Linked DNA regions of Mus musculus. The protein of the gene in region 1 purifies or fractionates together with the protein of each later gene. This does not show direct contact. Links are inferred from orthologs where the notes say so. Each region holds a gene or a part of one and is shown in the gene's direction. Other genes may lie near its edges.

What was found.
Region 2: the proteins of Pkn3 (region 1) and Arhgap26 purify together in Homo sapiens (affinity purification with mass spectrometry; 3 studies listed by BioGRID and IntAct, with this or other methods). This does not show direct contact. The link is inferred for Mus musculus from reciprocal best matches to the Homo sapiens genes PKN3 and ARHGAP26.

The regions. Positions count from the first base shown.
Region 1 is NC_000068.7:30,081,673-30,085,222, forward strand, and holds part of Pkn3 (serine/threonine-protein kinase N3), read left to right. Parts: intron 1-1,143; coding exon 1,144-1,290; intron 1,291-1,368; coding exon 1,369-1,478; intron 1,479-1,566; coding exon 1,567-1,710; intron 1,711-3,018; coding exon 3,019-3,094; intron 3,095-3,177; coding exon 3,178-3,340; intron 3,341-3,510; coding exon 3,511-3,550.
Region 2 is NC_000084.6:38,991,763-38,995,956, forward strand, and holds the start of Arhgap26 (rho GTPase-activating protein 26), read left to right. Parts: upstream 1-1,390; 5' UTR 1,391-1,713; coding exon 1,714-1,867; intron 1,868-4,194. UniProt on the Homo sapiens protein: GTPase-activating protein for RHOA and CDC42. Facilitates mitochondrial quality control by promoting Parkin-mediated recruitment of autophagosomes to damaged mitochondria.

The DNA.
Region 1 (3,550 bases):
TCAGTCCACTCCCTGGCAGCCTTGGGGCCTGGGCAGCTTGGACTACCTGTAAGTTCTTTCATGAGGTCTGTTCTTGTAGCAGCAGCTGACTGGCAGTCAACAGATCATGGGAGCTGCAAGCTAGAGCCCGGCTGGTGCCTGCTTCAGAACACAATAGATAGGGCTAGACAGAGCTCTGTTACTATTATCTTGGATAATCAAGGAGGGCTCCTTAGAACAGGGGGGAGTCTGAGCTTGGCCTTGGAGGGCTCTCGGGAGTGCTGATGGCCAAGCCAGCAAGTCCGGCAAGACAAAAGGAGCCTCTTGTTTAAAGGCAAAGAATTGGGGACACGTTGATAAAGTTCTTTCTTACTGCGTATGAGGTCCTGGGTTCAGTCCCAGCACCAAATTAACTGGGTATGGTAGCACACACCTACAACCCAACCCCCTGGGAAGTGAGGCAGGAGGATCAGGAGTTCAAGGGCATCTTTAGCTACATAGTGAGTTTGAGGCCAACTTGGGCTAACAAGATCCTGCTTTTAAACAAAAACATTTGCTAGTTTGTAGCCGAACTTCCATTTCCTAAGACAAGTGTATTGCCTGGGCCGCCCTTGGTATTTCTGTAAGGTCTCCAAGTATTACCTCCAGACCCAGCCTAGTAAAATGGTGTCCTCAGAGCCGGTTTATGCCCTCAGGAGCTCCTGGGTATCTGCTGCTTCCTCCTCTTGTCCTCTACCCTTGGAGACAAAACTCTCAGTGATCTTAGACAAAACATGTTTTGTCCCCATTGGGGGCTCTCCCTCGCTGATCAGGTGGGAAGGAATAGGGCAGGCAGCTAGAGTGATGCTCGGGTGCCTGCCCCTGTGCACTTGAGACCATGGTGCCCACCAGACCCTGAGCTCAAGGTAGCAGTTTCCCTCATCCTGTGGCTTTACAAAGCTTGGGAGAAGTCCTGTTCTTACATTCCTGCTGTGTTCTGCCACTGCATAGGCACTCAGGAAGGAGAGCTAGCCGGGCTGCTAAGGATGCTGGGTGGTAACTAAGTGTGGTAGGTAGGGTTTAGATCGGCTGCTCCTAGCTCTGACCCTCCTAGAGCAGGTGGTGTCCCTCTGGGGTTCCATTGGTGGTGGCTGCTGACAGAGGGCTCTCTTGACTCCCAACCAGGGACACTGCAGGTTCGCCTCCTGGGCTGCAAAGATCTGCTGGTAGCTGTGCCTGGACGGTCTCCCATGGCTGTCCTGGCAGGTAGCCCTTCTGAAAGCTGGCTCCGAACAAGGTCCCGGCAGCAGCGTGGTGGAGGCGAACTGGCCAGTGAGTAGGGAGAAACCATGGGAGGTGGTGAGGCCCCCTGCTCTGGCCATGCCCTAAATCCAAGCCCTGGCACTACAGGTGAGGTACTGGCTGTGTTGAAGGTTGACAATCGTGTTGTGGGCCAGACAGGATGGGGACTGGTGGCTGAGAAATCCTGGGACCAGAGTTTTATCATCTCCTTGGACCGAGTAGGCTGGCCTTTGTGTGGTTAGGGTTAGCTGTGGGGTACGGGGGGGGGCACTCAGGTGAGGGCTGAGCCTGATCTTTTCCACATAGGCTCGCGAGCTGGAGATTGGGGTTCACTGGCGGGACTGGCGACAGTTGTGTGGTGTGGCGTTTCTGAAGCTTGAGGACTTCCTGGACAATGCCTGTCACCAGCTTTCTCTCAGTCTGGTGCCTCAGGGGCGGCTCTTTGCCCAGGTTCCTACTGACCCCTGACCTCTAACAGGGGATCTTTAGGACTGACATTTTGGGTTGGGGTGATGGCTCAGTGGGTAAAGTGTTTACTGTGGAAGCATGAGGACCTGAGTTCAAATCCCCAGGATCTGTGTAAAAACCATGTGTGGCTTGGTGTGTCTCTAAGTTCATGGCTGGCCGTACAGAGACATGGGTTCTCCAGACTCGCTGGCCAGCCAAGTCTAGCTGAAACAGTGAATTCCAGGTTCAGTGAGAAACCCTGTCTCAAAAATAAGGTGGAAGGGCAGATACCCAGTGTGGTGTCAACCTCTGCCTACATCAGTGAGTACAACTCTGTGTGTGTGTGTGTGTGTGTGTGTGTGTGTGTGTGTGTGTGTGTGCATCTGTGTGATAAAAACTGGTAATCCATGTACTATGGGACTTGAGAGATGGAGACAGGTTCACAGACAGGCCTACAGGGAGGCTCACATCTCTACACTGAGCTTGTCCTGCCTCATATGTCATCTTGAATACGTAAATGTGTCTCCTCTGGGCCTCAGTTTCTCCCCTGGCCCCCGTGAGGATACGGTATCGTGTCTAGGTCCTCTGAGTTTTGCTTCATATCAGCTTTGCCTCATTGTTCCGATAAAACACCGGCCAAAGCAACTGAAGGCAGGGAAGGGGTGATTTCAATTTACAGATTTACAGCCAACCCCCTCCCTACTCTTCTCCCACCCCCCCCCACCCCCCACCGCCTTCTTTATTTTTTCTGAGATAGGGTTTCTCTTGCAGCCCTGGCTGTCCTGGAACTCACTCTGTAGACCAGGCTGGCCTCCAATTCACGGAGATCCACCTGCTTCTGCCTCCTCAGAGCTGGGATTAATGGTGTGCTCCACCACCGCCCAGTTTACAGCCTATCTTTACGGGAGCCAAGGCAGAAACTTAATAAGCAGGAACTGAAAGCAGAAACTGGGGAGGAACCGTTTGCTGGCTTGCTCTCTGCCTCTCTCCCAAGCTCATGCTTGGCTAGCTTTCTTATATAGCCCAGTACCACTTGTCTAGGGAATGGTGCCTCTAACAGTGTGCTAGATCCTCCTACATCAATTAACAATCAAGACCCCCCCCCAGACATGCCCACGAGCCATGTAATCTAGGCAGTCCCTCTCGGATGGGTCATATGGAAAGTTAGCACTAACTAGAATACCCCCATGGCTGAGATTGGGAGCTGGCGCTGGGGGTGGGGGAGTGGGGATGGGGGTGGGGACGGGGACGATCCAGCAGGGTGAAAGGCGGCCAGTCTCCAGGTCTTCAGCTTTCTTCATGTCCCTTTAGGTCACCTTCTGCGAGCCTGTCATTGAAAGGAGGCCTCGGCTGCAGAGGCAGAGATGCATTTTCTCTAAGCGGAGAGGTGTGGAGCATACGGACTGTGTGAGGAGAGGGCTGGGCTGACCAATGGGGATGCTGGGACTGAGCCCCGCCTGCCTCCTCTAGGCCGGGATTTCATGAGAGCTTCCCAGATGAACCTCAGCATGGCAGCCTGGGGGCGTCTGGTCATGAGCTTGCTGCCCCCCTGCAGCTCACCAAACACAGCCAGTCCCCCTAAAGGGCGCCCTTCAACAGCGGTCTGTGGGACCCCCAGTGCTGCTTCCCCGAGGTGAGCCGCCTGGTGCAGACTCTGAGACACTTTTCAGGCTCTGTCTCTTCAGGTTCTGAGTGCTGTCTTTTGCCTCCTCAACCTCTGAGCCCTCTGTCCTTTCACATGGCCGCGCCCCTCACCCCCCCCCCCCCCTAATGTGTCTGGGCTGAGACATCTCCTTCTTACAGTAACTTCCTGCCCATGAAGACGCTCTCAAAAGAAGACACG
Region 2 (4,194 bases), on another chromosome or scaffold:
TGCTCCCAAGCCTGGCTTTGTAGATACAAATTAAGAAATCGACCACATTCATTCATTCGATAAGTACATCAATTAATTTCCCATGCAAGGACTCCTTTTTCTGACACTTTGGAGTCTGAAACTCGTTTTCATTGTTCCCAAGGATCCTTCCATCAGACAGCAAAGCTATTCCTTGGTTGATGCTCCTCTCCAGAACAGAAGCAGTCAAGTTTCAAGGTCTTTCTGGGTTTGTGGTTCCATCCCGAGTCTAGTGCTGTGTTTATAATAGCAGACCAATTGAAAACACAAAGAAGCACCTTCCCCATGTCCTCCACCCCCAAAGGTGTGTTGTTAATTAGTATAGAAATAATTTAGCCAAGGGCAGTCTCTGTTCTCTAGGAGTTCATCATTCAGTTCTAGACACTGGGAACCAACCTACCAAATGCTCTGAGGGAGCGGTTAACCTTGACTCCTGTGATTGATCAGAGGGATGATGGTCACTCTGGAAGTCGGAGAATGATGCATAGTTTTCTACACACATGTTAGACAGCGCATATTATCTGTTCTTAAACACTAGTCGCTGTTCTAGTGGATAGGATTGCAACACCCCACCAGAGAACTGCGGAGGCACGTGCCCTCGTGGAGCTGGGCAGCAGCGAAGAGTAGCAGACATTGGACAGAATTGTGTAAAAACGGTGTTAAGAATCCAGTAGGAAAGGCTGAATTCTTGCTAAGGACGTGAGAACCTTCTGTGGGTTGCAGCCGTGGGCGGGTTTTGAGCAGGAGTGGCCACTAGTGGGACGGACAGTAGGGGGGGAGAGGACTGCAGGGAAGGGGAGTTAGTGATTTCAAAGAAGCAAATACGTTCTGCTTGACTGGAAGCAAGGGATTGCGAGCTCCGAGCGCTCAGTGTTCTTCTGGGCAAGGGGCTGTATTTTGAGTGCAAGCTCAAAGGCTCAGAGGTGTCCGGTGGGCTGCGGCGAAAGGCAGTTCTCATTCTGGATTTTTTCTGCTCCGCACACCTAGGCTCTTCGGTTCCCTAGATCAGCAGACGTCTCATTTCAGGCTCGGATTAGAGTCACACGAGGCGGGCCGGGTTCAGGGTGGCAGGGGGGCGCACCCACTACAGAATGCAGCACCAGGCTCTCTCTCCTAGCTCTGCAACCTTCGCTGAGCAGGAGGGGGCGGGGCTTGCTCTGCGGACCCAGGGGGTGGCACGGACTCCGCCCCTCTCCCCAGGCTCCGCCTTCAGAAATATCTGATTGGGTTAGAGTCGCGGAAGGGCAGGGCGTCCCCTGGCGGCCCCGTGGGTCGGGCCGAGGCAAGCTTATTGATTGGCCCTGCAGGGGATTAGGTCATCGCTAGCAGGTTCGGGCGGCCCGGACGCCGGAGGGGCGGCTGAGGCTTCTGTGAGAGGGCGCTCGAGGCTGCTTGAGGCTGCTGAGGAGCAAGCCCGCAGAGGAGGCGGGGAGGCGGTGGCCCGGCTGGTTCGCTTCCAGGCTCCGCCAAGGGTCCGCCGCCGCGCTTTCTGCCGGTGTGCAGTTCGGTGGCTCTCCGCAGGAGCAGCCGCCGTCCGTCCGGGTCCCCGCTGCGGTCCTGAGTCTCCTGCTCCCGCTGACCCCGCGCGCGGGGTAGCCGGCGCCACCCACACCTGTGGATCGGCCGTCGTCGCGGGTGTCCGCCGACCAGCGTGCGAGGCGCGTCCCCTCAGCCCGGCTGGCTCCGCGGGCAGAAATGGGGCTCCCGGCGCTCGAGTTCAGCGACTGCTGCCTCGACAGCCCTCACTTCCGAGAGACGCTCAAGTCACACGAAGCGGAGCTGGACAAGACCAACAAATTCATCAAGGAGCTCATCAAGGACGGGAAGTCGCTCATCAGCGCGCTCAAGAGTGAGTGTCCGGAGCAGCGCAGGAGGGCACCCGGCGGCGGCGCTCCGCTCCCGGTCGCCCGCGCGCTACCGGCTTTCATCCCTCCTCGGGCGCAGAGTGACCGGTGTCTATGCTCCTGCGAGGCAAGAAGGATATGTAAAAAGAGCGAGTCAGTTGCCTCGTAGGAATCTGGTCGCTCAGCCCTCGGCATTCGGGGACGGCCGGAAGGTGGCCATCAGGGTGGTACTCTGGATTGGGTGGGTGTGTGCGACACAGGTGTTTCTGGAGTGAGCCTGCCGCAGCCTGTTGGGGAAAACCACTTCCACGCTTCCCATGGCTTGGTATCCTTAAGGGGGGCGAGTTGCTCACCTCGGTGCCCAGCCTTGGGAATGGAGCGTGCGGAGGGGGCGCTGCCCATCCCTGGGAAGAGGAGGGTGGTGACTGCTTCGAGCCCTGCAGGAGCCCTGCACGCAGCTCTCGCCTAGTCCTGACTACCGGGTTCTCTGCGTTGGGGTGATTGGTTAGCTGCATTCCTGGGAGCACTGACATTAATCCCTAGACATAGATCAGTGCGGTGTACGTGTGCAGGTTTTGATTCTTGTGCTTAGCAGAAGGTGACAGGGGTGGGAGTATAGGACCAGAGTGTTCCTTTACTCTAAACTGTAGGCGAAGGTTTAAAAATAGACCGAACACATCCGTCTTTCTCCGTCTCCCGCTCCCTTGCTCCATACCCGTCCTCTCCCTCACATCTTTTAAAATTCAAAAGGCTGAGAGGGAATCCTCAGCCCTTGCTCAGAAAAAGAGAAGTTTTAAGCTCATTTAAAAGGTTCCCTGAGCTGCTGTGGAGCCATTTTTTGCTGCCCTGCCCCCTTCTCGGTACAAGGTGTATGTGTGTGTTAAAATGTGCATGCCGCCTAACTTTTGAAGAGGAAGCCCAGAGTTTTCCCTTGTGGCCAAATTAGAACATTCTAAGATTGAGCACCTTGCAGGGCAAGAAGGGTACCTTTTTTCATTGGGTTCATTTAAAAATAGTTCAAGCCATTTTTTTTTTCCATTTTGATACTCAGGAAGGGAAGGCAGATAGTGGAATTGTCTTTGACTCTTTACTCTTCCTGTCTCTGTGATGGGTTTCCTAATAGATGGTATCATTCAGCTAAGAATGGTTGCTTCAACAGAGTAGGATTCTAGCTGTTTGAATGGTCCCCAGGCTTCATTCGAGAAAGACCTAAGTGCCAAGATGTCGCTTAGTAAGCCTGTTGCTTTTAAAACTGAAGAGTGAGGGGATGGAATGTCAGGGCAGCAAGTGCCAGTCTTTCCTGGGTGAAATAAAAGCTCAGGGCAGCTATCAGAAGGCTTTCCAGGGCCAAAGATCAGGGCCTGCCTTGTTTCAGGGGACAAGTTACCTCTAGTTTGAGGAAAGTTTGGAACCCACATAGAAGCTGGGTCTGGAAATTTTGGTTGACCCTTATGCTTGCTTGATTGGTTTCTTCTCTCTCTCTTCCTCTCCTTCTGCTCTCCCTTCCTCTCTCCTTTCCCTCTCCCACCCCTTTCCCCTCTCTCCACCTCCTCTTCATTGAAACAGGGTTTCCCTATGCTTGCCTGGAGCAGTGCCCTTCCTGCCTCAGCCTCCTAAGAGTGCTATGATTGAAGGCATGCACCATCCGGGCATGGCTGACCCCAGGCTAGCCTTAATTGATCTTCTGCCTCACTCAGCAAACATATGAAGTGCCTGCACTTCCTGGGCATTGCACTAGATGCTAGGATGTAGCAATGACATTTGGCTGCCCCTGTGGGTGTGGAGGCACAGTACTCTGTGGCAGGCATGGCATTATTTGTGTGTTAACCTCACACTTGGGGAATCACTAGCCCAGAGTCCCATAGCTTCATCCACTGGCCTGTGGTTGTGGATTTTGCGTGGTCCCTTTGTGCCCAGAATGGAGCCTATAGGACCAAACCTACTAGAATTTGGACTTGCATTTTTGTATCTGAGCATTGAATCTGAGGAAGGCATTTTGGGTGACTGGCAATTTGCCTTCCACTATTTTTGAGGAGCATGAATTCTTTAGATGGGAAGACTCATTGCAATATTGGGGTTCAAAGGTTAACCAGACAGGTGGGTCAGCTCTGAGACTGTGGAAAGACTGATAGTGGCATAAATATGCCTGTCTTTCCACTTTATGACGAACTACCCCCCACCCCACTACTTGTAACTTCTGCTTTAACAGAACATGTGATCGACGTGACTTCTTACCACTTGTTTTCAGTGTTTGTACTGTGTTATTGTGAAGTGCTTGCTGCATTGCACATCATATTAATTCCTCTATAGTAATTTTCTTCAATCAGACCAT